Linked DNA regions of Struthio camelus. The protein of the gene in region 3 purifies or fractionates together with the protein of the main gene of each other region. This does not show direct contact. Links are inferred from orthologs where the notes say so. Each region holds a gene or a part of one and is shown on either strand. Other genes may lie near its edges.

Region 1 (7,460 bases), on a different chromosome or scaffold from region 3:
CAAAACAATGACAACAAAACTCTTCCATAGTCCTAGGCTGGGGCAGCAGCTCCCTAAACTTATTCCAAAATGCTCAGTCTAGCTCTGCTGAGTTTATATGCACATCGAGGATGTCTCTGCCTGCAGTTTTTGCCTGCACTTCCCAAAGGCTGAAGCAGAGGGATCGCTAGAGTGACAAGGGGGCTCGTTCCCTCCTGGGGCCAGAGCAGCCCGCTCACACGGCGGTCCTGCTCGGGACAGTCTTATCTCTGGCCCAGCACATTGCTGCTGCCACCAGCGAGGCCCAGCCACCTGCCGCTCAGTGTCAGCCCTCTTCCCATCTCCTGGCGCTGCTTCTCTTCAGCCCTAACGAACACGCTCTCTGCCTCTGCTCCTCTCAGCGTCTCAGAGGTTAAGTTTCTACTAAACTTTATGTGCTGAAGCAGCAGCGTTTTCCTCTCCTGTTTCCCGCGGGAGAAGGACACCACCATTAAGGATGGCACTGCATAGTTTCTCCACTGCAACCTGAACAGCTCTTTGTATATTTACACAAGACTCACGCATGGCTGCCCCTTGAATAAACACATAAGTTACATTATTTTGAGATTGGAGGCGGTGCGAGTGTTTGATTTCTGTCTCTCTCTCACACACAAACAGAAACGCACAAAATAAATAGAATCAGTTTCAGCCCAAAGTAAGAAAGTTCAAAGTTATTCCCTGCACTGCTACAGCTTCTTGCAAACCACTAACGTTACAAGCCAAGTACTGTAGTTGTGGAGCACCTGCCAGTTGTTCAAAAGGAAAAATAACACATTCTTCCGCTCTCCTCCATCCTTCCCCCTTTATCCCATAGGAAAAACCGCTTGATTAGTTTACAAGAAGCTTCCTGTTTGTCTACTTGCTTATGTTTTGCAACCTGAAAGAACGCTGCCTGCTATTAAATTACTGAAGAAAAGCGAGGTAGCAAAGGTTGCTTTTGCATTTTAATCTGAACCCAGGGTAGTGTTTAGTTCTGTGGTTGTGCCAGGCTCCTGGCAGGGAAGGACAAAGAGGCTCCAGGGTGTCCCTAGCCACAGGTCGCGCACTCTCAGCTCACTGCAGTGCCAGCAGTGACACGGCCCTGACTTCTCGCAGAAGGACAGGAGCTGAAGGCTGGTAACACTACCACACACACACAGCACCTGCAACACAAGCTGCCACAGCTCTGTGCCCACCCCTGGAGATCCATAAAGGAAAGAAAAAAGATCAGACTAGGGAAGGAAAAGGTAGAATCATAAACACACACACACACCACTCAACAGCTCATGAAAACCTCACATCCTCCCTGTCTAACATTGTTTAACAGCATAGCAAAATTTGGTAACATTAAAATACCGGGGGGGGCAGAGGGGAATCACTACCAGAAAGTTTTGAACCATGTCACCCATCCTTCTATGGGGACCTCAGGTTTCAAACACACTAACTGCTCTGTTAAGTTCCCAACAGTGGTGGTCTCTTGCAACGTCACACATACATGCCAAAGCCCGAGAGGAGATTCCTGCATGTTTGTAAACAGCTAAGAAATTGAAGTGTGTGCGTGGTTTCCTTGACTTGACCTCACATGACTTACAGTATTGCAACATGCTTTCAGAGTACAGTTAAAGCACTTCCCATCACCAGACAGGACTACAGAGCCATATTATAACGCTTCCTCACGTATTTAAGCATTTAGGTTGGCCTTTCACTTAACATTTGCCCTTCTGAGGGTTCTGATGTAAAGGAGCAAAGAAAGTAAATAATACACTTTCTCACAAACTGCTCACTTATTTGCTATGCCAAAAGCATTACTAGAAGATTTCATGACACTACTGCCATCCTGAACGTGTCAGACTCATCACGCATCCAAGAATAGTCACGAAAGCAGTAACGCAGGTGACAGCCCATGCTTAGAGGGCACTGGCCCTGCACCGTGTGCAGTGCAGTCCAGCCGCACGTGCACAGGTGACAACACCAGTTTGGAGGTCACAGACCTCCAAAGACTGCAAGGCTGCAACTCTGACCAGGCTCTCTCAATCTCCAACAACAGTCAAGTCCTGCTTCTCCCCTCCGGAAGAAAATTCCAGGCAGAGGGAAAGATGCAGGGAGGGAAACCCAGGGCAGTGTCACTAAGGTGAGCGGAGAAGGCCTGCCCAGTGCGGGAGACGACAGAGGCCTCCGTGCCCGCACCGACGTGACCAGTGGGGACAACTTTCCCAAGAGGAGAGGCCGCGCCTCGTTGCTCCTCTGCCAGAGCTGCTGGCGACGCTGCCAGCTCGGAGCAGCGACATTTGGATGGCGGCAGCCCCCGCCGGGACGCGAGGCCGGCCCAGCCCCGCGCCTCCCCCTCCCCCGGGGCGAGGGGGCGCAACGGCCCCGCGCGGTGTTTACGCGGCGAGCAGCTGCCGCGGCGCCGTCAACCCAGCGGTGCAAGTGCGAGCGACCCCGGCGGGGGCCGGGCTGGGGCGGAGGCAGCGGGACGGGCACGTCCGCTACTGCCCGTATCGACAGGGGCAGGGGGAGGAGGAGGAGGAGGAGGAGGGAGGTGCTGCACGCGAGGGCTTGTTTTCGGCGTCTTTCGGGCTTATTCTTGCCGCTCCTAGCTGGAAGGCTGCGGGCGGAGGAGGAACCACCAGCCTCACCACTTCCGCGGTTCCCGGCAGCGCGGAGCTGCAGCTGGGCCGCCGCCGCCTCCCCCGCCCGGCCCTTCCCCACCGCCTGCCGCCCTCCCTTCCCTCCCCAGCCGGCTCAATCCCCACCCTCCGTGGGCGGGTGGGCGCCAGCGGCCGGCGCCGTACCTTGCAAGCGGAGTAGACGCCCAGCTTCTCCAGCTTCTTGGCCCGCGGAGCGGCGCGCAGCTGCGCCTTTTTGCCGGCGGTGCGCGCCGAGCCGGGGCCCCCGGGGCTCTCGGCGGCGGTGCGGGCCGGCCCCCCGGCGGCCACCCCGCCGGCGGCCGGCGAGCCCTGCTGCGGCCCGCCACCGCCCGCCGCCGCGGCCCCGGCGCCGCTAGGCTCCGCCATCCCCGCGGAGCGGCGCGGAGCGGCGCGGCGCGGCGGGAGCCGCCCGCCCGTGCGGCTCTGCCGGCGCGGTGCGCCGAGCGCTAGACCCTCCCCTTCGCCGCCGCCGCCGGCTGCTCCCCCCGGGGAGGGAGGGGACTGGCCGCTCCGCGGGCGGCTCCTGCCCCGCCGGGCGGGGGGAGCGCGGAGCCGGCCCCCGCCTCCCGCCCTGCAGCGCAGCGCCGAGCCGCGGGGGAGCGCGCGCGCCGGCATGGGCGGGCGGCGGCCGTGCGCCCCCGCGTAAGGCGGCGGCGGCTTCGGCTGCGCGCGGGGGACCCCGCCGGTGCGGGCCTTGCGCGGCCGGGAACCGGAGGAGGAAAGGGGCCGCCGAGAGGCGCGGAAGAAGCCGCACTCTTCGGCCCCCCTTGGCTTCAAGTCCTTTAAAAGCCCCGTTTTTCCCCTCACGGTGCCACTAGTTTGTCGACTTAACTATTGCGTTTCCACACCCTGCAGTTCTCAGCTGTTTTTAAACCGTTCCGGTTTCTTATTTGTTTGCTTTTAAAGATTATTTCGAAGTCAAAGAACATAAAAATACTCCTTGGCTTTAAAGATGTGAGACTATAAAGACTCTGCTCAGTTCCGGGGGGGAGTCACGTCGCGGCTTCTTGTTTGTCCAGGAACAGGTGTTAACAGCAGGTCAACCTATGTCTTTAAGTAGCTACCTTTTAATTGGAAGCTCAAATTAAGTAAATGATTCTGCCACAGCAACTGCACTCTGTGCCTGGAAATAAGCCTTTCAGTTCTGAGGAAGTTATGTCCTGCTGCACATATGTAAAAACGCGGTTGAACGGTGAGAAACCACAAATGACAATTCGCTAACGCAGTACCACGGTTTAAAAGGTTGGAGCTAAGGCTGCCCGCGCTTGTGTGTGTTTTACAGGGCTTTGATGTGTGAACCAGAAGCAGTAATATTAACGTTGAGGGGAATCCCAGTGCATGAAAGAGCTCTCGCAGCAACGCAGGGCCTTGCTGGCTTACACAAGCGCAAAGGATGAGAGGCTTCTGCAAGGTGGGGAGTAAAGAGCAGGGGGAGGACTGAGGACGCATTTTCCCTCTGATCTCCCCTTCCCTCAGCCCCGTTTTCTCCCTGGATATTTTCAACCACTGAGACTCAACGGTGAGCTGACATCTTCATTCAGTGCGAAAAAAATCAGAAGGACGCATCCAGTTCCCTTTCAGATTGAAAGGTTTCAACGTTTTTATTTGCAAAGGAGGAGGAGGGGTGGGCTTTTTTTTGGGGGGGGGGGGGGGGCTGAGGTTTTAAAAGGAACAAAAGGTGACGAGCGGGGAGGCGGGTCCGAGCTGGTCGGTGCCGCGCTCCCGAGGGCCGGAGCCCTGCGCGGAGCCCTGCGCGCCTCCCCCCGCGCCCTGGGAAGTGCCGCAAAGCCTCTGGGCCGCCCTCGGGCGGAGCGGCGCGGAGCGGGCAGCGGCGGCGCTGCCGGGGGGCTCCCCCGCCGCGGCCGGCGCCGGGGAGGGATCCCCGAGCAGGGATGTGGCTCGCGGGGGCGGGGGGGGTGACAGTGACCCTTAAGATGGCTGCTGCCATCCGCAGTGTTTTAAGACAGACCGTTAAGGTGGAGGAGGCACTGCCCGCCCGGCTTCCCGGAGGGGCGGTGGGAAGCCGCCGACGGCACGTCAGACCCTGCCTTCGGAGCGAATAATAATAAAAAAAACCCCTCACTCTTAAATTATACCTTTATTTTTTTTTCCTTTGAGAGTGTTCAACTAATATTTGAGGATAACAAATATTATGCTGCATGATAACATCCACCTGAGGTCATCAGAATAACTTTCTAAATGTATTTGCTTGCATTTCTTTATGACAATCGCTCTTCCACTTTCCTCCCAGACTTGGCAATGAAATGGCTTGGTTTCGCTTTCAGCTTTCCCACTGCTCTGCTACAGTTGCAAGTGAAGTGAATAGTCCCATCTGTAACAACAAATTCCTCTCCGTGTGCCACTTAACATGGCTGGCCATTGTCTTCCAGCTTTGCTGGGAGCTATGGCCTTGACGGGCAGTCTCCTAACATCTTTTTTAAATAAAAAAAAAAGAAAACCATCAAAGCTGGCAAATGTTTTAGCTTCTCCTCTAAATGATAAACTAATGTTATCTAATCCAGTATCAACTTTGCATCCACACAGAAACAAATTATACATTTCAATTCTTAAAATACATTTACTGTTTTTGCACACCTAGTTCCAGCGCCACTTACGACCGCCCAGTGTGTGTTTATGTATGAAACTACGAGTGCAAGTGTTCACAGGACCTCGGCCTAGGCAGAAAACCTTCTTTCAGCCTGATTCTTTCACCTTGTTTTTCGAGGTCCTAAAAGCCTGAGAAATTGTTACTTCCACTGAAATAAAATAAGGATGAAAGTCATTATGAAGCTGATACTGACTTTTGTTACATGCCTGGTACTTTGGATCTCTGCTTGCATTTCATTGTTTGTTTATGAGGGTCTAGTGGAAAAAAGGCTGTTGCATGGCATACAGTAGGATGCAGGTAAGTATGAAGGGAAAAATATTTTTACTGCAGTTTTTGCCATCTCCTCCTGTGAGATTGTGGCTCTCTTACAACATGTCTGACAGTCTTTTTTTTTTTTTTTTTTCCTTTTTACCTTGCTGCTCACTAGATAATCAGAACAATAAATCTACCAGCCTGTGGCTAAGGATACAGTTACTATAGTAACATTTATAAACACCGATTTCACTACAAACGCAGAACAACTGCCTACTATTGCAAAAAGGAACAACTTAACAAGAAATCACTCTTTAACTGCTGTTAGGTAAGCTTGCCTTTTTGGTTTTTTAAACTGTAAGTCTCATTTAAATCTATTGTTATCATTTGTTCTAAAATATTAAGTTTTAAAAAAAAAAAAAGCTTAACATGACCTTGCCTTAAACTGTTCCAGTGACAGCTAAAATGTTACGTTCAATATTTTGGCAAGAATAAGGAAGGAAAAGATAGTTTGGTTGCTGGAAACACTGGGGTATAACTTGGGCCATGTTCACAAGTGATGGCTTTGGTGAATATAATTTGGCTATGACAAATTACACTCTATTAGGGAAGCAGAAAAAAAAATCTGTTTTGACATATGACTCTACATGTCATTCTGAGTTTCATATCTAAGCTGACTTTATCTGTTGACTAATTTTGAAAGTATTTCAATTATAATTTATGACTCAGTCTGAGCACAGAATCACTCCAGTGCTTATTTTCACCATTAAATATTCAATATGAGAATATTAAATTAAAATTAAACTCAAAGCATTATCTGAAAAACCTTGCCACATTTTTTAGTTTCTGTCCTTCAGGGCACGTCAATGGGCTTGCACAAGTCCAGCTTATTCTGAAACTGGCTTTTAGCAAGCCATTGAAGGAGCTAAGTACAGCTGCCTACTTCCTAATTGTGCTACTTAGCTTGCAAACTCAGGTAAGTAGCCCCACCACTTCAGGAAGACTACTCATATACGTTAATTTAAGCAAGCCTGGAGCTGGATGAGACACATGTTCCAGGTCTTGTGACTCTCAGGCCTGTCTCAAGCTGCTGATAGCCCTGAGGAGATTCATGTTCGGTTTTGGTGCTTCCAGGGGACAGCACATTTAGTGCCCAAATTCACTCTGAACTCTAGACAAGCTTAAACGTAAAAGCATGCAAGTTATTCCAGCAAAGCAGATGGCTGTATTCTTGATATCCAGTTACAAAAGAGGCATCTCGAGTTACAAAAGAGGAAATTAAAATGTGGTTTAGGGTGTGCCTGACACCCAGGTATTATTTAGTTGTCATTTGAGGTTTTTGGGACCGATCTCAGCCACATAAGTTGAATAATAATTCAACTAATAGCTGCCTAATGCTGAACGCTGTCTCTCCGGGAGGGCCCTCGCAGCCAGCTGTGCAGCTGGGGATGCATCTGTCCCCCTCGCCCCCAACCCCAGGCCTATTTGGAGCGAGTGTGATGAACCACTGGTCTCACTCTCCTTTTGTTCACGACAAGACTTTCCTCCCGTGCTCCCACCTGGTTTTGTCCTTGCCTTTCAATGCAATTGTGAAAAGCAGAGTGCTTCCCCCTCCTCCAGGGAATTTATAAGTATAAAATCCTATTGTATTCTTTCGTTAGCACATTCCTTGTGGGTTAAGTGGCCTCCCTTGAGGCCACTACACATTCAGGCTATCAATATTTTATGAATCACTGGAAGTATTAACAGCACAAAAGTTTTGTTCATTATACTCTCTAGCATCTTGTCAGCTTCCCACAGAGTTTACATGTGAAATTAATAATGTGGATTGCAGACCTTACCACTAAGCCTTTGACTGTCATAGGGAACCTCACAACCCAATTACCCAGTTTTTGTAAGTCAAAAGCAGAGGGAAAAAAATGAAGAAAATGTCATTGTGTAAACAAACTCAC
Region 2 (7,172 bases), on a different chromosome or scaffold from region 3:
TTCTAAGCTAAATATTTACTTGTTATCGGAAGGAAATTTACAAGAGTAAGTGAACTTACTTTGGACCGAGTTCTTTTCTGATTTTTCTCACTAAATTTCTCCTTCATTTCCTCCAAGAGATGCTTCAGTTCCCTCTCCTCCGATGTTCCTAAGTATTTTTGGTTAATATGAAGGTAGCAATGCCATTTGGCTGATTCAAAGCCCCAGTGACAGGTCCTTTTATCAGGGGATCTATGTGAATGCATCACAAACGTCTGGGGCGAAAACATTCCATAGCACTCCAAACACTGGATACAGGGATCATCCGGCTGCAGGTAGAACTGAGGTGCAAACAAACCCTGGCATTTGCCCAAGCACTCATGCTCTACTTCAAAGGCACTGCCAGACTCTTTCAACTGGGCCAATGTGCTCTTCGCAGGGAGAAAGCTGCCATTTTGAGGAAAAGTGCGAGGACGTAATAAAGCATTGCATAGTCTCTGAGCGTCAGTCAGCGTAATTAGCCCACAGGATGGAGCATTAAATGGAAGAATTCCCAAAACCTTCAGAATGTGAAGCTGGTCGGACGTGCACCTTGAGCAATATATATACAGCTCGTCACACACTGTATTAATCTGTTGCAATGAAAAGTCTCGGAGAACTGAATTCAAAACTTGCGGCAGGCAAAGTCTCTTTTCTCCTCCAACTTTAAAACAAGAAATAGATTCCCCCTCCAATATAGTCTGAGTGAGTTCTGTAGAGCTGTCTGGAGGAATGAGCAGTGGACCAGAAAGTATTTGCGGTGATGGAAGAGGCAAGAAGACAGTGGGTGACATACTTTCCTGGGAATAACGAGCTGAAAAAGCTGCTGGCCCTCCCAGTGAACTCTGGCTGCTTAAGTGGAACTGTGCCAGCGTGTGTTTCAAACCTGGATTTAAATTCAAAGGCTCAGATATTGAAGCACTGTTTGGCTTGGCGTTTTCCCCATCAGCCTCCACAGGAGTTTCATCATAGTCATCCAAGTTTTCCTTCTTTATTGTTGGCAGTCTATTTATTACAACTCGTACTTTGCTATTTACATGCATTTCTGTCATTACTTTTTTTATTGGAGGACTCTCATCCTCGTGGACCCCACTCCTTTTTTGGTCTGAACCTAGACCGAGATGGAAGTTTGTTTGCGGGCTTTCCATTGCTAAACGCTAGAACTTTTAAGCAAGCAAATCTAGAGTGTGCATTTTCCTGCTTGCTAATACAAAAATCAATTTTAAATGATCTTGACTACTTCACACACGCCAAGCTTTGCACTCCTTTCAGTAAGTTAATCCTTCAGCCTCCAGGAGCAAAAAACTGTAGCCCCTTTTGCATGTAATACCACAGAATTAAGAATGGAGAGGGTAAACAACATTTTCTTTTAGGTTTAAAAGTATTTGTCCAATTTTCTTTTATACAAAACACATTGCAATATGCATATACAACGATTTTCTTTGTAGCCTACTCAGTAGTTTGCACAGTAGTTTCGTATAGTCTTTCAGTAAAAAATGATGAGTTGATGCAAGAGCATCCATCCTCGGTCACTTTTTTCCCCTTTAAAAAGCATACTGGCTTTTCAAACAAGCCTCTTGTTTAAATACCAAAACAGAAAAATGCCCACAAGTCTCAGTCTGAAGAGCGTCGAACTCAGTGTAACTGATCCAAATAAAGTTTGGTTGTGTGAAAATTTTATTCGCCGCTTCTCCTTCAGTTGTCAGGGATCAAACACAAGCTTAAGGCCTTTATTTATTGGGCAGCCAAGTTTACGATTCCACCGCCACCACCACCACTAGAGTTACTATGGCAGTTCACCAATAAATCCCCAAATTAAAGGCTGATCCAGATTGCTGGCAAAAACTAAACGTCCCTAGAGAGTCACCTTTAGCACAGACGTCCCCGGTGTGTGCCTGGCTTTTCCCACCCCGAGTTATTAGCAATACAAATAAGATCCGGGCCATCAGCTAAATGCACATCTTGTGCTAATACACAGCTCTGTCAACCTCTCCTGATAACCTGTGAAAAGAGAGAGAGAGGTCATTAATAACCATTAATTCCCGAGACTAGAGTCTTCAAATACGAGCTCAACATATCAAACAAGGGACACGCTTCCTAATTAATTACAAAACATCAACGCACAGAGAGCTTTCGTTTAAAAACCAGAAGCCCCATCATAAGCCCCTGGCAGATGGGCGAAGCTGGCAGCGGCACCAGCCCAGCGCCCGCACAGCGCTGCGTGTAACGTGCGGCAAATCCCACAGGCGGGAGCGCGGCGAAGCGGAGAAGAGGAGAGGGAGGACGAGGTTTCTCTTTCACAGGGTGTGTGTGGGGGGGGGGGGGAACACTCGGGGGAGAAACGCCAACGCGGGCGGGCTACGAGCCCCCTCCCGCCGGGGCCGGGGGCCGGGGCCCCCCCTGCCGCCGCCGCCGCCGCCGCCGCCGCCGCCGCCGCCTCCCCCCCCTTCCCGGAAGGGCCCGGGCCGCCGCGCCCGCCGCTCCGTGACTCACCGGCGCTTCCCCGGCGCCGGCCGGCCCCGCGCCCGGCTCTCCCCTCGCCGCCGGCCTCAGCGCCCCGCGGCTGCCCGCTCCGCTCCGCCAGCTGCGGCTCCTCCCGCCGCCGCCCTCTCCGCGCCCGCCGCCCCCTCCGGCGCTAAATTTACCCCCCCCACCCCCGCGGGAGGAGCGGCTTCCCCCGCGCGGCGCCCCCACAGACGCCGCCTCCCCTCAGGCACGGCGCGCCCCTCCCCCGCCGACTCGGCCCCGGCCCCCGCCGCCGGGCCGAGCCCCCTCCCCCCCGGTGACTCCCCGGCTCCTCACCCGGCACCGCGGGGGCCCCGGCGCCCCACGAGCGGAACAGGAGCCGCGTTCGCGCCGCCCACCCGTGACCTCACTGCGGAGACGGAGACGGCGGCGGAGACGGCGGAGACGGCGGCGGCGGCGCGCGGGCACGAACCCGCCGGCGGCGCGCGCCGCCCCCGCCCCCGCCCCCCGCCGGCCTCAGCCGCCGCCGCCGCCGCCGCAGCCCCGCCCACTGTCTGGGGCCGCGGCGGGAGCGGGCGCCCCTCCCCCTCCCCCCCCCGCCTCACGCGCGCGCCAGCCGCTCCCTCAGACAACCCCGGGCGGCCCCTCCCCCCGCCCGCGCGGAGCCGCCGCCGCCGCCCTCACACAGCCCGCGCCGCGCCGCGCCGCGCCGGGGAGGGAGGGGAAACCTTCCTCCAGCCCTCGGAGAGCCGCGCCAGGGGAAGCCCTCCCCGCCCTGCCGAGGCCTCCCAGCCCGGCGCCGCCGCCGGCTCGGGCGGTTGGCGCGGCGCCGCGGGCTGCCCTCACACGCCCTGTCGCCGCGCAAAGCGGGAGGAGGAGGAGGAGGAGGAGGAGGAGGAGGAGGAGGAGGAGCGGCGCTGCCCGCCCGGCGGCTCGGCTCGCCCCGCCGCGGCTGCCCCGTCTCGGCCGTTTCCTGACGGCTCCCCGGGGCTGGTGGCGGCGGGGCCGGGGCTCGCCCCGGGTGCGCGGGCGGCGGCGCCATGTCAGGGCGGGCGGCGGGGACAGGGGAAAAAACGAGGGCGCAAACGGCGGGGAAAACGCGAGGCGCCTTAAAAAAAAAAAAAAATCCCACCTCTGCGGAACAGGAGGGCGGACAGGGCAGCAGGGAAACGCGATGGTGCCCGCCGGGGCTGCCCGCAGCGCCGCGGGCTCCTCACGAGGCACCGGGGCCTTCAGAAGAACGGCTGAAACGTGGGGGAGCGGGTCAAAAGATGGTTTTGGAGCCCCAGTCAGCCGGAAGCTGTGCGGTCACGGCCAAGAGGGGTTGACGTATGGAGCGTCTCCCACTTCGGTCCTGTCGCTGGCAGGGGAAGAAGCTGCTTTCCAGAGCCCGCTTAATCTCTGTACAGCTCGCGTACGGGGGACGGGTTTCTGCCGTACACAGCTGTTGTTACATGTTCCTTGTAAAGACATTTTGCCGCTTCAGCTGAAGGGCAAAATCCAGTTTGCCGTTGCCTTTAATCCTTATTTTGATGCAAAGGGAACGTAAAAAAAAAAGAAAAAAAAACATTAAAATGGCACAACTGCACAGCCGCTGCTGCAAGGTGTTTAACAGGACGAGGAGCGGGACCGGCCCAGCGCTGCCCGGCCGCGTTCGGGTTCAAGCTGAAGGCTAACAGCAAACAAAACCCCTCTTCTTGCTGAAGAGCATATTTAGCTTGATACACTTCAACTCTTGACTTTGGTTAGAGGTCCTCCGTGCAGGCATGGTTCACCCCTGTAAAGCTGCTTCTCGAATCACCTTTCAACTCTTAAAATACCAGGTCACTTGTGCTACCCACAACGTTTTCTTCTAATGACAATTGGCAACATATAATTTTTTTTAGATTTCTAAAAAAAAAAACAACCTCTCTAAATTACATAGCGCTTAATGTGTTTGCGCATAAGCAATTTGTGACTTTTCTCTTGTCAGCCCCGTGATCGGAGGTGTTATTTTATTTCCAAGCTTTGCCCTTGATGTTACTCTTCAGTGGTCACACATCTGTAGGCAGAAACCATCTTCCCATATGTTTGCACAGCAGCTAATGCAGTCATTAGGACGCGTGGTGCTTTATATTGCAAAAATAATAAATTGCTGACAGTTTAAACAGCAGAAGAGGGTTTAGAATAACTGTATAAACAGCTGCGTCTGGGCTTTTAACAATAACTCTGTGATCACAAAGACGATAATGGTTATAGTTATTTGCTAAAGCCTAGAGAAAACCACTTGACCTTTCTATTATTAAAGAATTCAGGTAGAGATGAAAGAATCAAAAATCCGAAATAGAGCACGACCTCAATTTTTACATTCGGCAGAAGGTGTCATCACAAGGATCGTTGTTTTACTGTTGCTGTTATTGTGGCACCCTCAGGCAGAAGTAAGGCTTTCCTACCAATGAAGAGGTACCACAAAGAAGCCTGAAGCATGTTGAAGCATGTGAACGTCCCAATTACTTGAAATTAAGAGCACTTTCTCAGCTCTTTGAAATAGACACACTTCACAGACACTTCGATGCCTATAGAAAAACGTAACTTGTCTTTTCATAGACTACAGAGAGAGCAGAGAAGGAAAAGGAAGGCATAAATTCCTGCCACTCCATATAGGCCAAAGTAAAGATGAAAGCTTTCCAAAAATTGGAACCAAGATTTAAACTTTGGGAAGAACACAAGTATTGGAGAAACTCATTGTTTGTCCCTTCAGTACTCCGCTTTTTGCCCTTTTCCATCCTCCTTGTGTTTCTCTGCTTTTATTATAAGCCACTAAAGATCGACTCAGCCATTCCTCAGGGAGCATTTAACATATTAACTACTACCATTATGGGGAGTACATTTTTCCTTACTTTAATTTACCCTACTATTTTCTAGCTCTTTTTGCCAGACTTCATCTCTGTAACTCCTCTATAGCAGCGGAATCTCAGCTGAAATCTGTACATATAAGAGCATGAGCAGAGGCTCATGCATGACTGAGTTTTATGGGCCGAAAGATAACCGAGACTGATGCCTCTGTACTGTCCAACCACTTGAGATTCACTGCAAATAGGATTCGTGTACTTAATTTTAAGTAAGTTTCACGGATCCAGGACCATAAACCTATTCTTGGTTCATCTTTGCACCTGAGTGAGTTTGATCTAATCCAGCAACACCCTGTGGTTAATAAACACACATCATGCCACCTCAATATGCAGTTTTATATCTAGTCTTTTTTACTTTTCAAAGTAGGGAAGTGTTAGAATTCATTTAAACATGGTTATAACATTGTGCAGTAATTTGCAGTACCCTGGTACTTCTCTAATGCTCTTCTCTAGCCTGCAGCAAAACAGAATTACGTAGGACTCTGCAAGTCTTGTCTCACCTTTTGGCTGCTATGTCAAACACAAGCTTTTGCAGCCTTAGAAAGAAAAAAGTTTTAAAAAGAGGAGGATTTTTTCATGTAATGATTCTGTGGAAGGATTTTATGAAGACTGGTATTTTTCTCCATTTATAGTTAAGCAAACAGTGCAAGATGCAGAGCAGCTGCAGGAGTACAATTGCTACCCTTACATGAAAACGAGAACTGCTTTTTTACAGGGCAAGAAGGGTGTGTATTACTGAGACGGAGGGAAAGTGATGGAGAAAATGCAAGAGTGCATTTATGTTTGATCTCAATTGCCTTTATTCTTTATTCTTCCACAGTAAAATGTCTGAGGCTAGGACAGCAAATAATTTTATGGAAAAGTACACCCATTCCGGAAGAGTACTAATACTCTGTACTTACTTATTAAGTAGATACGGGGCTTAATAGCCACAACATTTTAGTAGAATTAAAAAGGCTTCTGAATCTACCAGTTTGGGGGGCTGATCTTGAAAAACACTGACCAGTGATTCTATTATCTAAACATTCTGGACATTCCTATCTCTTTTCTACCCTGTAAGAGTCTAGGATTTGATCAAAAATTTCTCTCCAAATAGCCAACCATTGAAATGCACTGTGTCATATTTCAATTGTATATAACTCAAGAGCATGGAAGATTCATAGCATCGTACCTGCAATGATCGGAGGACATAAGCAAGACAACATTTGTAGGTGGATATTACACCTGCTGAGGGCACGTAAGCTTAGGAATTAGGTGTCATTGTTTAATTTGGGTTTAAAAATTCTGCACATTTTTCATTTCAAGCTGCAAATTTTGGTAACTACTGTGGTGAAACAGAAGTGTTGTTACAGCGCTACATCATCAGGCAGCATAAGACAACGTTCGTAGGTAGAAGATAGTCTACTAAACCGTGAACTCTACCTAGAGCCTTGACTGTCGACTATGAAAAGCACTTTGGTACCAGAGGTACGACGTAACTAAACTAAAATCTTACCTACAGATCTTTTTAGCACTGAAGAAATCGCACTAACAGAGCCTGGGAGGGATTTTACTTTTATTACTAACCTCTCTGGATTTTCAAGAGGTGCTCAAGTTTTTTGGAATCTTATTAAATTAACATTTAAGGTTGTCTTAAAATGTAACTCACATTTAGCACTTTCAGCTGCTTTGTTTAAACACCTTAGCTTTAAAACCAGTGCAACCCACACAGAATTTGTCTTTACTCTTCTAGGTCAGCTCCCAGAGAGAGTTATTTTAAAAGATAAAAACATCCTATTTTTACTTGACAACTAAGAA
Region 3 (6,920 bases):
TTCTTCAAACAGAAAACCTGGGACCTGAACGTCTGTTGGTCACATCATCTTACAAACTGAGCACTCGGAAAGTAACACACTTAACCCTACTTGGTCACTAGAGGAATTTGAAGTTTCAGCTCATCTGCTGTGAAGCCCTTATTCCCAAGGGCAACATTTCTGAAAAGCTTAAGCACTTTTACATCTCAAACCTTGCCTCATCTCATGGGTACAACGGCTAATTTTGTACTAACCCTGCTCCTGCTGGGCCAGAGTCATCCCTGGCATAGCTCCACTGTAATTTAGTCTACTGATGTATTACAGACAATGCACAACACGATCTTATCCGTAACGATGGTTTTTCCCTTTTGTCCCCTCAATGTACTTAAATTTGCCTAAATAACACAGCAACGCATGCAGAATTATTTTAAAAGAAAATACCAAAGCCATACTAAAATTGTCTTGCAAACACTAATTTCAAGTGACATGATAATCAGTCACAGAAGCGTTAGGACAAACAGCGCAGTCCAGTGGAGAAGACATTGCACTTAAAAGTCACAAGGCCTGGTTACAATTACAGCTCTGCCATTGGCTTCAAGACCAGCTGTTTCACATTTCCACTCCCTTCCCCAATCTCAGATATCTAGACATTAACCTAATACTATGCTGCTGCAGACGGTCCAGCACAGGGTAACCTAACTACTGTTTTAAGGATCTCTGCAATATCTATATAAAATAACAGTAAAAGTGCATAGGAAGCGTCATGTTTAAAGACTAGTACCAAGGCACAAGGAACTACCGTCAAAACATGCTGACAGTAGTGAGCATATGAATCCTTGGTCCCCAGTACCAAGGATTAAGACCTGAAGGATCAGACTCTGTGTCATAAGTGAACATGAAATGTTTTAGTTTTTGTACTGTTTCCCTTTAACAGAGCAAAATTTGGGAGAAACCAGCATTCTCTTCTGCACAGTAGACAATAGCCAGAGTAATCTCTGGAGGTGATAATATTTATAACTTGTGACATCTGCTTGTGGTGTTACTTATTTTCCAGCTTTAAAATTATTTCTCTAAATTAAAGCTTCCTACTCCACCCGTCTTTTTGCTCCAAATGCCTTCCTTAAGCTAAAACACCTTGTTCCTAGTAAAGCAAACGTCGGGGAGCCTCACACTCTGCTTCCTAACAGGTCAGCATCAGCAACTCTCCACGGAAACCTGAAGCACAATAATATACAAGTCACTTCAACCGTAGGACTCCTCAAGTAAATTTTTTCTTATGAAAAGGCAAATATTTCAGGGAAGTGGTTTACACAGGGCATTTTCTATGAGGAAAGTACCCTGCTTACCAAGAATTTCAAAATAGAGGTTTAAGGGCATTTGTACCAGGTGGCAGCTTTGTAGGTTTTGATCTCTGCTTCAACTACGAGGAGCCAGAGTAACTCTAACAAAGGCAGAGTCCTCAATCCGGATTACTGGCAGAAATCTTAGGCATGATCGCTCAGGACCGAAAAGATGAGGAGGCTTTACTTTTTCTTTAAAACTCTAGTTGCTGGAAAAAATGTTAGGAGTTCCAAATATCCACGTTTCTGAGCTACTTGCTTCACTTTTTCATGCAACAGATGCTGCTTTGTATTAGCTACTGCATATTAAATCATTCTGACAACCAAGAAAGCATACATTTGTTTGGGCGAGAGAGAGGCATGAATACACATACTCACAGAGATATCTTCTCACACAGAAGCATACAATTATGCAGGATTCAAATATTTGGGCTGAACTTTGGCCTTTGTTAAAAACACCCCCCCCCCCAAAACAACGACAAGTAACAGACTCAGCAGTCATCTGGCTCAGCTCACAGAAATCGACAGACCTGCAGCAAAAAAAAGCACTGCTTGGGGCCAGCTATTTGAAAGTTACTTGAACATTTTTTCTTAGATGCTATGTATATCATAAGGAAGGATGCATATTATGGATTGATTTCGGGATCAAGGCTAAAAATAAAAATCTATGTTAAAACAAAAATTAAAAAAAAAAATCAACTTGTTACATCCATCCTTACATAATTTTTTTTTTTTGCAGTGCAAGTAATCCCCTTCAGCTATGCCATTTGCTCTCGCGATTTAAAAAGCAATGTGAAAACAAACGCGCAGCAGGGCTCTAAATCACATCTGCAGCGCAGTAGCTGGCCAGCTCGCAGGAATAAGGCGAGCAACCCAAATAAAACCATTTTCCTGACCAAAACCAAAACACACGCGCAAACACACACACACACACAGAGGCAAAACTCGGCGCAGCGCTGCCGCAGAACACGCTGCAACTTTTGACCACGAGAGCACCCAGGGTACGCGCGAGGGCAGCCCAGAGCGCTGCCAACTTTGGGGTTTGGGGTTTTTTTTCCCTCCTCCCCCCACTTCCCCTCTTCCAGACTCGGCTGGAGACATTTTCTCCCCTGCCGGGGGCAGCCGCTCCCCAACGGCCCCCGAGCCGCCGCCGGGCCGCGCCCCGGGGCCGCCGCCGCCGCCACCGACCTGGGGATGGTGATGCACTTGGTGTTGATGTTCTGCGTGGTGATCGCCTTCTCCAGCTCGTCCAGCTGCCCCGTCTTCTTCAGCTTCTTCACCAGGCTCTTCACCGCCTTCTCGCACCATTTCTCCTCCTGCCCGTTCTGCTCCCCTTTCTTCCAGCCCAGCAACCGCTTGACGATGGGAGGGGTGAACGGCAGGATGGAGGACATGCTGGCTTGCCCGGCCCGGCCCGACCCGACCCGGCCCGGCCGCTGCCTCCACACGAAACCCGGCGGCTCCGCGCCGCCCCGCGGGCACCACGAGGCCTGGCCCGGCCCGGCCCGGCGCGGCGCGGCGCTGCCTCAGCGCCTCGGGCCCTCGGCACCAAACTTTGCCCGGAGTTCGCCGCGTTTCCCCGGCGGCGGCGGCGGCGGCTCCCTCCTCCCCCTGCTGCCCCGCTCTGCGTGCGCGCGGAGGCGCCCGCTCCAGCTCATTCCCAGTCTGCCTTTCATGCAAATTGCCTGCTGGCCGCCCCAGCCCGGCTTCCACCCCCTCCTTCCCTCCCAAACACGCTCCCTCACGCCGCCGGCGGAGGGCGGGCGGGCGGCCGGCAACTCCGCTCCCGCTCTCCCTCCCCGCCGCCGCCGCCGCCCCCCCCGGCGGCAGCCGCAGCGCCGCACGCGCTGCCGGGGGCGCCCGCCGCCGCGCTCCTCTTTCTTTTCCTTCTTTTCCTTCTCTTTCTTCCCGCGCGGGAAGGGCGGAGGCGCGGGGGGGGGGGGGAAGCTCTGCCCCCTCAGCGCCGGCGCCCCCCTCAGCGGCTGCGCGCTCGCGGCCTTCCCGCGCCCGGCGAGGCGGGAAGCTCCCGTCAGGGCCGCCGCCTCCCCTCAGCCCGCGGCGGCCGCTTCCCCTCCCCGCACCCGGCCCCCTAACCCTGACCCTCGTCTCCCCCCACGCGGGAGGGACGAACAAACACGAGTGACAAAGCGCTGCCGGGCCAGGGGAAGGGACAGAGTGCCCTCGGGCCGGCGGGGATGGGTAAGGCCCCCGGCGGACCCCGACGGCTGTTTTTCTCTGTGAAAAAAGGTGTGTTTTCACATGGAGATGGCTGATCCTCGCTTGGTCAAAGCAGCCAGGCGGAGACGACGATCTGCAGTTTTTTTGTTTCAACCTATTTAATTTACTGTTCCATTCCCTCATCCTCCCACCTCGAGGGCCCGGTACCCGATTAATTTTTGCCCTGTATCAGGCACAAATTACGCTCCGGAGCTGTTTACTACCAGCCCTGGTCAGAAAGTCTCAGACGGAACATTTTTGTCAGAGAATGGCAGCTTGTTCAGATGGCCCTGTTTTGTAGAGATGGTTCAGCCTTGACTAAGGCAGGACGGGATCCAGGTAACTTTCCAGTTCCTCGCTTGTCATCGCTGGACAAAGTGGGCTTTCACGCTGCCCCACCTCTACCATCCTCCCCTTCACGCCGAAAGGCCCTAAAGACCATAAAAATACCAACCATAGTTCCTAAAGCGCTCCAACCCTTGGATATACCACCCTGGCGCGGCGTGAGCAGGGTGCACGGGCAGCCCGGCGAGGAGCAAGGGGCTCGGAGGCCACCTGCAGAGTCACCGCTGCCTCCTTCCTTTAGGCGCCTCAGCCCCAGCTGCTTCACAGCCGTCCGGGAATCAGAGAGTAAAAAGTTTTGGGAGGCCCCAGCTCCCAAGTTTTGACATTTGAAGCTGAGGCAGGCTTCCCAGCTTCCTCGAGCCTCCGCAGCCTCCCAGACGAGCTGACGGTGAACCTGAGGTTGGGAAGCCTCCGGGGCTGCTCACCCGCTCCCAGACGTGCAGGTTCTTGCCAATCCGCATTCCCCTGCTCCCAGTTCCAGCGCGGCCCAGTGGGGAGACTCCTCGAAAGCCGGCGATCCAAACGCTTTTCCATGCCTGTGGATTTGAAACAGCCAGCCGTACAAATCGCCTTGCGGCAAGTTATGAACCTATAGGTTCAGACAGTGTCTGAAGCTCAGAGGCAACTGGCTTGGCTTTTGCAGCGATTTAAACAAATAGTACTTTTTATTCCATACTGACAACACCAAAATTTGAAGTAGCAATATTGGGCACAAAATAAAATAACCTTTCCCCCCCCCCCCCCTCTTTTTAAAACATTTTCTTACTATTCCCCAACATGCATTCCCCGAGTGTCTTGAATTTTGGAGGCTCACCACTAAAATTTTGGAACGCTGCCCTGACCCAGTTTTTGGCTGCCTAAATTGAGATGCCTGAAGTACAGTGATGCTGAGCCCCTGTAGATGATCCCAATTTCATTTGAGGAAACAGTTGCTCAGCACCTCTAAAACCAACACAAAAATTCTCAGCAACTAATTATGCTAAAACCAAAATGCCCAAATTACTGATTGCTACTTAGTGTCATTGACTTGCTGCATATTTGTTTTCTGGAAGGGCCTGGTTCCTGATAGCAAATGGTTTGGAGAATAACAATATTTGGAGAATAACCTGAGTATGTGAACAAAGTGAAACACAGAAGTTAAATACATTTTTTTTGTATATAAATAAATACAACTATAATTTTAAGTGTGGGGAAGTTTAAAGTCATCTTTTTCTATTTTCCTGGTTCTTGGCCCAGCACATTTTGCAACATAAAGAAGCCCCAGGGCAAGACTATGCGTGAAGAAACAGTCTTAGAGCTGTCAACACTGCATCAGGGTAATAACAGTGCGGATTTCTGTTGGGGACCATATCCATTTCTTTGTCACTGTTCATGCTAGAAAAGCATGGGGACTGTTCCATACTGTTTTTCAGCCAGAAAAATGAAAGTACTCAAATCTCACCTCTAAACTCAGAATTCATGCTGTAATCTTAGTTCAGCAAGGCTTCCAGGATTTTCTGTACACATTCATTGGCTAAAATTCACTCCATTACTATAGTCATATCACAGGTGATCAGCTGGGTAAATTTGAATAAGGGGAAGAGGAGGAAGAGCTGCGAGATTTGCTCGCGCTTATATAGCGAGTTAGTGGCAAAGGGGTAAATAGATTTACCTGTTTAGCCAAATGCTAAAACAAAATGGGTCTCACTTGCTTACAGTATCACAAGTAAGGAGGAGGCCAGCTAAATCACCCATCTGCCTTCTGGGCCGCAGCACCACTGAGAACACTAGAACTGAAAATGAATAAACATTTGGTCTCAAGACGTAGAATTAATTTCCAAGCTCAAGGTCATTACAATTTACAGAACAATTTGTATGACTGCTGCTGGGGTTACCTGTCAGAATGAACCATTCTGTGAAAATATGCCTTTCTGAACCCATAGACAGTAATCCTTTATTTCAGAGAGTTTTGGACACTCTCATAATGGAAAAATTAACAGACAGGAAAAAGACAGGACCGTCCCAATTTTACATGGTCTGGATCCGTTCTCTGGTTTACAAAATGTCTGATGTCTTGGAAGCCACCTCTAGGCAGGATAAGGTTATGTGTTCATTAGTGATATAAATTTTTCTTTACTTTGCAACAATCATTATCTTTGCATGTTTGTTACATAGTACAGGTTTAGGGACTTCACTCATTGCATTTTGCTCGTACTGAAAAGTAAAGATGTATAATCTGCAAAAACACAAGCCCTCCATAGTTCATCTATTTGAGATTACTTGAAGAAAACAACCGTATGCTTTGTGGCTCTCTTGCATTTCTTAACCTTTTACTACTACGTGAACATCTTGACAGTGATTGAAAAATAATCTTTATATACCTTGTTCATTCACAGGACCCATCAGTGAATGGGAACAGAATTTAAACTTTACTTTCAAGACGACAAAAATTGGGTTTTGATTCAGAAACGATATAAAATGAGCATAAGAAGCAAGAAGGTGTCCTCTGGGGCTCTCACACACGCGTATCTACCTTTATTAGAAATACTCTTAACAGCTTCTGAGATTGAAGGATAGGTTCTGTGCTTCACTCCACATTCACTTTATACCACTCGAGGAGTGAGAAGAGAATAAGGGAGTTTGAAGCAGGCACGAGGCAGTTCCACTAGCTCGCACGCTGCTCTCCCTGAAACCTCTTTTGCAGGGGCATGTTGGAACAGGCAGGCTGGAGGAAGCGTGACCAGAACAAACTGTATTCTGGCTATGCTCAGAGACGGTTCTTCGGGGAGCCTGTTGCCTGCTGAAACAGCTCCCGGGCTGTTTTAACATGTAATTGTGGCTAGTTTGAAAATCAGGGAGTGGTTGTGAACCAGCTTTTAATGTACTGCCATCTCTCTTTTACTCAGCTACTGAAATATTAAGTATAATTTCCTATATGGGCATTATCTACTTGTGGAAGGGAATTTTACTGTGTGACTGAAGAGGACAACTGAGAAGCAGGTGGACAACCTGTAAAATTTGCAACAGATAGGGATTTACCAGAGCAGCTAAGAGGGCCAT
Region 4 (8,005 bases), on a different chromosome or scaffold from region 3:
ACTCTTGCTCTGTGTCCATCTGCCAGTCAGTCCCCTTAATAACTCTGAAACCCATTAGCCAGTTTTACCCAAATTGATCGGAAAGGTTAAAGTCTCAAAGCATGAAGTTGGCTGGCTTATAGATGACATTTCTTACTAATCAGCACACAGGTTGCTTTGAATCAGCCACAAAACCTGCTGCCCTTTGCCCAGTCTGTGTTGAAAGGAGGTAGTAAGGAACTCTGGGAAGAACAAGAAATACAGAGGGGGAGCAGCTATCTGGTGGGATATATGGGAGGAGTAGACAGGGTTATTGCAGTGGACACAAACCCGTTGGAGACCAGGCTCCAGGTGGCTGACAGAACAACCTGCTATACACTCTTTGTGTGAAGTCAATGTAGACAATGCGGCCATTGTTTAAAGTAGCTGCAATATAACGTTGTCTTAGCGAACAGCAGTATACTTTACAACAGATTTCTCAAACGATCAGGGAAAGCTTCAGGTCCTCCGCCCCCAGTGCAACTTCGACTCTGCCTTCAGCTGCACACCTACGGTTCTGCAATAGGGTATTTGTATAAGAGATGTAAAGCCAGAAGTGTGTCCTGCACTTCTCCAGCTACCAGCCCAGTGAGAGTGTAGGTTATTGGAGCATGAAGGAGTGATTTTATCTGGGTTACTGCTATAAGCTAGGTACACTATTATCTTAGGAAAAGCTGACTCTCTGAATCAACAAAATGGAAGAATCAGAATGAAAACTGAGCCAGCAATAGCCTTCTGTAGTCGAGCATAAAGCTTAAAAGAGTTTAGCTCAACAAAAAAATCACTTATGCAGATTCCCACTCAGAGTTCACATGGTGTCATATGAACATTACTTTCCCCCAAGCAGTAGGCAATAGGCCTCACATTTCGTGGGGCTTGAACAGTCCACGAGCAGCCAAGCTCACCCACGGGCATGACTCAGAGCTGCAAAGGAGCTGTGACCCCACCAGATCCATATTATAAGCCACTGACCTCTGTCTTCCATCCAAGAAGCTGGTAGCCCCATAACCTTCTGCGTAAGAAGGTGGCTACATGATCCATCGTGATGGGTACACATGTTCATAACATAAACGTGAGTAGGGATTAAAAGAGTTGCAGAAGACGCAGTACCGCCCTGAAAAGCTCGCAGTCTAAGTAGGCACAATAAAGGAGTGAGGCTTTCAAATGGCCTCAGGGCTAGCCTAACTTTATTCCTGTTGAAGTCAGCGATAAAACTCCCATAAACTGAGCCTTTTTGAAAATCCCACCCTTGGGGCATTGAAGTACTTAAAGGAAGAGACTGGAAATCATGCAGGTTTTAGTTTGAGTTTTCCTATTTATTTCGGTCAGCCCGGTCATGGAACAGTGATCAGAAGGGTTCATCTGTCTATTTTTCTCGCACGAATTTGGCTAAGTAAAATGTGTAAGAACAACTGAACTGTGGTTTTAATTCTGCCTCTAAACTGCAATATCACAGGCAGGAAATGCTGTGTGGAGCTATGAAGAGCTGGTGCTCTAACTTTTTTGATAAAGCCCGTACAGCTGATATACCAGTGAATTTTGAAAAAGGAAGATAATCTTGTAGTAAAGGCCCGGGGCTGGCACTCAGGAGATCTAGTTTTCTTTCTCATTTCTGACACAGGCTTCCTGTATGACCTCAGCACAGTCACGTAATCTCCCAGTGCCTCAGTCCATCATCCTTTTAATAGGGTTAGTACATACTTATTTCCCTTCTCCCGCCCTGTGCCTGTCTTACTTGCACTGCAATTCTGCCAGGGAGTGGGGCATTTCACGGCCTTCACCTAGTACAATGAGACCTAACAGCAATGCCTATACTGTAATGCAATGCCAATTAAATAAATAAATGAAGATGATAACATAATTTAGAGCTAGATTTTCATTTTGTAATCCAGCTCAGGGTCAAAGTGCTACACTTCCCTGGGACCTCAGGACCTAAAGAAACCAAGGAGGTTTTTGCACTGGTGAAAATCTGCCCCAAGCGTTTGAAGGTTTTGGGAAAGGGTTGAGCATCTTCTCATCATGAGCAGCCTTGTCTCGTGATGGCTCATGAGTCTTCAATGCTGCTGCAGTACCACTACCCTACCGATTGCTAAATAGTACAGATAAATGCCAGTATCACAACTGCACTGTAGCTGATGTCTTTCTGAGAGACCGAAACCCCTTTCCGGTTTCATAAGGGGCCATGGTATGACAAAAGCCATGGCACGACACACACCGTCGTGACCTAAAGTGGGGTCATGCACTGGAATGTGTTAGTTGTAATGAAAATTGCTTCCATTACCTGAACCTGCATTTATTCTGATTAATTCGGTGAACCTTCCCTATTTAGATAACTGAGGATTAATCGTATGCATGCTGAAATCCTGTCCCTTGTAATAAAATCATGCTGAACTATTCCTAATGAGTGCCACTTGAATTTGAAACTTAACTAGATCCTGAGGGCCTTAGTCCTTATTTAGCAGGACGTGTAAGGCATGCAGGATCAGGGCCTTACTGTTTTCTAATCAAACCGAATGACTTTCAAATCTCATTGCTCATCTATAATGCTAAATAAATCAGGGATAATTTAATTTGTCTGCTGAGCTAATTCTATCCAGAAATGCTTTAGAAGCACACCTACTTCTCAACACATGCAGTTGACTCTGTCTGGTATCTGAGACAACACTATTTTTGTACTAAATCTAATCCATAGTTTGTTTGGGTCAATACAAAGTGGGGCAAGAACTGATACCTTGACATTGCTTCATAAGGTATTTATAACTGCATCTATATTAACAGCTCTATCTTCTTTGGCTTTGTGGGTCACCCCTTTATCCAACCCATAATTAACTACATCTTCATCTGAGCTACTTTGGAGGCTTTCTGTTACAGCACGTACTCTAAGGAGGAAGTACAGGAGGATTATAGTTGTGTGTACATGCCTGAACATGCTCCTCTGTCACTCAACAGGCCAAAGAGAAGTTTTTTTTTGAAAAATGGCTAGATTCAGTTTGACTCCAAATTTAAAGTTCACCAACACAACTTTTACAAAGGTTTACGACCAATGAAAAACAATTTAGAAAAGAAACAGGGCAACATTCCTCCGCTGTGACTGTCAGCCAAAGCTGTTTTTATAGTAAAACAAAAAAAGCAATAGCTGCAGTTGTGTTACTAGTGCTACTGGCTAGTCAGGTGAATCCAACAAAAACAGAAAGTAAGGAAAAGTGAAATTATTCAGCTTATTAGGTTTGAAATTATTCATTGCTTAAATTCGGGTGAGTGCAGAGAGGACGGACTAGGGTAACCCTAGATACAGCGTTACTGTTCGATTTTTATTACTTTCTGTAGCCATGTGCCGGGGCAGCCCGGCGCGCTCTCCTCCCTCCGTGGGCCCTCCGCTCACACCGGCTGAGGAAACCGAGGTCGGGGGCTGACGGGGAGCACAGCAGCGGGTCGGGGCGGGGGAGAGGACAGGCAAGCGGGTGCGTGTTTTCCCCGCTCGTTTCCAGCAGTCCCACCAGGCTCCGGGCAGCGGCGGGCGGCCGGCGGAGCCGTGGTCTGCGCGGCCAGCCCGCCCCGTCGGGGCGGCCCCGGCCAGCCCTGCCCGCCGCCGCCGCCTCCGCCTGGCCCGGCCCGGCCCGGCCCCCTCGGCCTTGTGGGCGGGCCGTGCCGTGCCGTGCGGTTAGGTTGAGGCTGGCTGCGTGTGTCTATAACTTTGTGTTGCTGCCGGTGGTTGTTAGGAGGAGGGATGTGGAGGTCGGCGGCGAGCGGGGCGCCAGGCGGCTGGGGCGGGCTGCGGCGGCAGCGCGGCTGCTCGGCGGCGGCGGCGGCGGGCTGGCCTGTGCGCGGCGGCTGGCCGAGGCGGCTGGCGGCGGGCTGCGCTCGCCTCCTTCGCCTTTAAAGGGAAGGCTCGGCGGAGCTGAAGGCGCAGGAGCAGCAGGAACCATGCAGCAGCGGCAGCGGCAATAGCAATAGCAGCAGCAGCAGCGCTGCCTTTTCCTCCCGTGAATGTGGATCGCGCTTTCTGCCGGCGTTGGAGGTGGCTGTTGATCCTTCCCCCGGCCTCCTCCCCCTCCCGGCGCGGCTCTCGCTGCCTCTCCTGCCCGTGCTTTTTAAATGACTTGTGTGAAGGGGGGGAAAAACTGTCAAGATGGCAGCAGCAGGAGCAAGGAGGTTATGAATGTGGTGTTGATGCTGGAACAAAACCTATTCTCTTTGGCAGCCCTAGGGAGGGCTTAAAGCTTCTGGACCTGTTGGAAGACTGGTGATTTGATTTGCTCGTGTTGTGTTTGCTTTTTCCCTGCGAGAAGAAGGATTTTTTTTGTTTTGTTTTTAAGCCGACCAACCCCCAAGGTTGCTTTCCCTCCTTTCTCCCCCCACCCCCTCGTTCCGTCGGCTTTGAGATTTTGGGGGGTTGCTTGTGTGTGGCTTGGGGGATACGGCAAAGTGACAGGCTTATGCTAGTATGCAACTGGATGCCTGCTAAGACTTCGGCTCCCTTTAGGGCGTTTTGCAGAAGGAAAAAGTCTTCGGTGTAATCTGAAGGACCCCTCTCCCCCCCACCTCCTGCCGAGGGAGGGTGGAAAAGGAACACCAGAAAAAAAAAAAAAAGACAAAACCCAAAGGAAGATATCTGCGGAAGCGACAAGGAGAGAGCTCGGAGGTGCCGGGGCGGGGGGTGCTCTCCCGGCTGGATACAGCCGCGGTTGCCGCTGGAGCTACTTGTGCCTCTGCATGGAGTGAAACATAAACAAACACACGCACCGCGGGAGCGGCAGCGGCGGTGGTCGCGCCGCGCTCCCCCAGCGCGGAGGGCAGCGCAGCGGGCGCCGCCCGACCCCGCGCTGCCCGCTCGGCGCCGCCGCTCCGGCTTTTTATTCCGGTTTTTTTTTTTTTTTTGGGCCTTCCCCCACGCCCTCCGGCGGGCGCCCCGCCCGCGGGGAGCGGGAGCCCGGGCTGCGCGGCGCTACGCGGCGCAGCGCGGCGGCGGCGGCGGCCGGCCCTTAGCGGAGAGCGGCATGCCCGCCCGCCGGCCCCGCGCCTGCTAGGCTCCCGGCGGCTCCGAGCAGGCGGCCGCCCGCCCCGTCGCAGCGCCCCAGCCGCCTCCGGAGAGGCCGACATGGCAGAGGCGTCGCCCCCGGGCCCGCTCTCGCCCCTCGACGTGGAGCTGGACCCCGAGTTCGAGCCCCAGAGCCGGCCCCGCTCCTGCACCTGGCCGCTGCAGAGGCCCGAGCTGCAGGCCAGCCCGGCCAAGCCCGCCGGCGAGCCGCCCGCCGACGCCGCCTCCATGATCCCCGAGGAGGAGGACGACGACGACGAGGGGGGCGGCTCGGCCATGGCCGTCGGCAGCGCGGCCCCCGGAGGCGGCGAGGCGGCGGCTGCCGCGGCGGCAGCGGCGGCGGCGGCGGCCACGGCTTCGGCCGTGCCCGAGGAGGCGGCGCGGCTGCTGGCCCCGCTGCCCGCCGGCGGCCCCGAGGGGCCGAGCCTCTCGCCCGGGGGGGCGGCGGGCGGCGGCGGGGGGCTGAGCGGCGGCCCGGCGGCGGCGGCGGCGCCGAGGAAGTGCTCGTCGCGGCGCAACGCGTGGGGCAACCTCTCCTACGCCGACCTCATCACCCGCGCCATCGAGAGCTCCCCGGAGAAGCGGCTCACCCTCTCGCAGATCTACGACTGGATGGTCCGCTGCGTGCCCTACTTCAAGGACAAGGGCGACAGCAACAGCTCGGCCGGCTGGAAGGTGAGACGGGGCGGCCCCGAGGGGGCCCGCGGGGATGCGGCCGGGCCGCGGGTTTTCCTGGCGGCGGCCGGTGGCTGCGTTGTCACCTTTCCCCGATTTATTTTTGGATTTCTTTTTTTTTTTTTAAAGGGGGAAGGAGGGGGGAAAGAAAGTTTAGGCGCTTTCCTGTTGCTGCGTGCAAGCGGTGAGGGCTGACCCCGGTGGTGGGGGAGAGGCTGAAATGCCTGCGTGGAGCAGGCTGCTCTGGTGCCCAAGGGAATCAGCAGGGGAGAAAAGGAGGCGGGGGGAAAAAAAAGAGAAAAAAGAGAGATGCTTGTAATGGCCCCTTTTAAGTTATAGGCACCTTTCGTGTCACTCGTCATAGAAACGGGCAGAGTTGCTTTCATGCCGTACCGGTCCTAGTCTCAAAGCTCAAGTAGAGAAAGACTTATTTTCCTCCAAGAAAAAACCCCTGTGATCCCCCACGTGTTCCCGAAAGGCAACGGAGGAAAAAGTGGATGTTGCCGTTTCTTTATGAAGTTAATGAAACGTCGGAGTTAGGGGCTGCTGGGGCGCGGGAGCGCTTGCGTTGCGTTTTCCTGCGGCGTCGGTGCACGCGAGAGCGTCGGCCCCGCTGGATCCCGTATATCCGAGCGTTTTCTGCTCGGCGCTGTGACACTTGGCAGGGGAGGGGGGAAAAAAAATCGGGTTTGGGGGCTTGTTTACTTAGTGCGTGCAAAAAGCACGTTGTGAGCGGTCAGGGTTTTTTGCTTTGCAAGCTCACAGTGTGTTAAGGCCTAGCAGGAGGAGCTGGTGCTGCGCGGAAAGCCCGTCTGAAGGGATTTACGGAACTGCCCCCCCCCGGTTGTGAGCGTCTCTTCATTAGGACGCTGGAATGTCACTGGCGTGCAGCTACACGGCAACGTAGGTGCTGCTTGAGGCAGATGCTGTTTGCGGAGGGAAATCCTGGCACGGTTCAGTGGCCGCCGAGGGCCCGTGTTAGTGGCATCCTAGACTGAGTTTCTGAAAGGGTGACTGACTGAAGGCGAATTTGCGGGGAAGTTTTATGGCGTTATGGAGAAATTAAATCCCCCCTTGCATCTCTCTCTCTTTGCGTCGGGGGATAAACGTGTATGAATCAGTCAGAAACATTGTAGGGAGGAAAAATTTCTGGGTGTTTTCGTATTAGCAACTCTGTCTCGTCTTTTGGTTTCTGAACAGGGCTTGCTGTTAGGAATTGAAGTGCAGACGTATGGCTTTTCCCTCCCAAAGGGAGCATTACAGAGGCAGCGGTTCCCTGCTATTTGTCTCAGGCTGGCGAAGATATAAACAGAAAGTTTACCAGCGGCGTCACTAATTCGAGACCGGGCTCTTGAAAGCACGGATCTGCTTTAAAGCTTTTGCGTCTGTATTAAATGTTGAATTTTGACGCGACTTCACAAGTGCGACACGGACGACACGGACTGTGATAAAGGGTTAAATCCTACGCTGACAGCCCTTGCCTTGGCAGGTTGTTTGGTACTAGGTGCACGAGCAGTGGCTTTACATTGTCAGCTGTTACGAGAAATGTAGCCTTCTCATCTGCTGCCTCGAGTTTTCGGTAAATTATAGCTCCCAGCAGAAGACAGGCTTCTGAAGCAAAAGCACTGGTACTGTTTCAGCTCCGTTGGGTGGCACAACTCCCATTCGCCTGGGCAGAAGCAGGATATGGGCCATAACGCAAAGTGCTTACATTGATTAGTATGCTTAATACGGTCACAATTTTTTCTGACAATTTATACTGTTAATTTGATATTGATTCCTTTTCGGAGCAGCATTAACCGGTACTTGGAGCTAATTAAAATGCTAAAAACTTGGATCCCTTGAGACTTCTCTGATATAATTTAGTTCAGAAGTTTCTCACAAGCCTTTAGGATGACCTTTATCAGAGTATGCAAGCGCACTGGAAACAGAACATTCCTCCTGCTTTTAATGACTGTGAGCTGTCTTTGAAAGTTATGGTAACATGTTTAACCATGTTAAGGGAGTGTGTATTTGTGCGTGGGTGGTGGGGGCACGCTGAAGGGGGCAAAGGAGAGGTCAGGAGCTAATAATTTGCCAGGCATCCAAAACTGAAGGATTTAATTCCTGGCAGGGCTGGAGTTTCTTTTAATGTATGCACGTGCATTCAGAAGAGGAATATTTCAGTTTCTTGGCTGGGACACAAGTTAGATTTTGAGACTCCATCTTAGTTTCCCCATGCTAAAACACATTATATGTTATTATCATCACAGGTAATGAATACGACTCTTCAGG

Evidence for each region.
Region 1: the proteins of SMAD3 (region 3) and KAT2B purify together in Homo sapiens (affinity purification with western blotting, with the first as the bait; 3 studies listed by BioGRID). This does not show direct contact. The link is inferred for Struthio camelus from reciprocal best matches to the Homo sapiens genes SMAD3 and KAT2B.
Region 2: the proteins of SMAD3 (region 3) and SKIL purify together in Homo sapiens (affinity purification with western blotting; 6 studies listed by BioGRID). This does not show direct contact. The link is inferred for Struthio camelus from reciprocal best matches to the Homo sapiens genes SMAD3 and SKIL.
Region 4: the proteins of SMAD3 (region 3) and FOXO3 purify together in Homo sapiens (affinity purification with western blotting; 3 studies listed by BioGRID and IntAct, with this or other methods). This does not show direct contact. The link is inferred for Struthio camelus from reciprocal best matches to the Homo sapiens genes SMAD3 and FOXO3.

Annotation. Positions count from the first base shown.
Region 1 is NC_090943.1:42,676,249-42,683,708, reverse strand, and holds the start of KAT2B (histone acetyltransferase KAT2B), read right to left. Parts: upstream 3,015-7,460; coding exon 2,793-3,014; intron 1-2,792. UniProt on the Homo sapiens protein: Functions as a histone acetyltransferase (HAT) to promote transcriptional activation. Has significant histone acetyltransferase activity with core histones (H3 and H4), and also with nucleosome core particles.
Region 2 is NC_090950.1:27,918,421-27,925,592, forward strand, and holds the start of SKIL (ski-like protein), read right to left. Parts: upstream 3,001-7,172; 5' UTR 2,821-3,000; intron 2,565-2,820; exon of another isoform or gene 2,512-2,564; intron 2,020-2,511; 5' UTR 1,167-2,019; coding exon 60-1,166; intron 1-59. UniProt on the Homo sapiens protein: May have regulatory role in cell division or differentiation in response to extracellular signals.
Region 3 is NC_090953.1:2,692,044-2,698,963, forward strand, and holds the start of SMAD3 (mothers against decapentaplegic homolog 3), read right to left. Parts: upstream 3,012-6,920; 5' UTR 2,714-3,011; coding exon 2,508-2,713; intron 1-2,507. UniProt on the Homo sapiens protein: Receptor-regulated SMAD (R-SMAD) that is an intracellular signal transducer and transcriptional modulator activated by TGF-beta (transforming growth factor) and activin type 1 receptor kinases.
Region 4 is NC_090944.1:59,590,521-59,598,525, forward strand, and holds the start of FOXO3 (forkhead box protein O3), read left to right. Parts: upstream 1-4,987; 5' UTR 4,988-5,116; coding exon 5,117-5,731; intron 5,732-8,005. UniProt on the Homo sapiens protein: Transcriptional activator that recognizes and binds to the DNA sequence 5'-[AG]TAAA[TC]A-3' and regulates different processes, such as apoptosis and autophagy.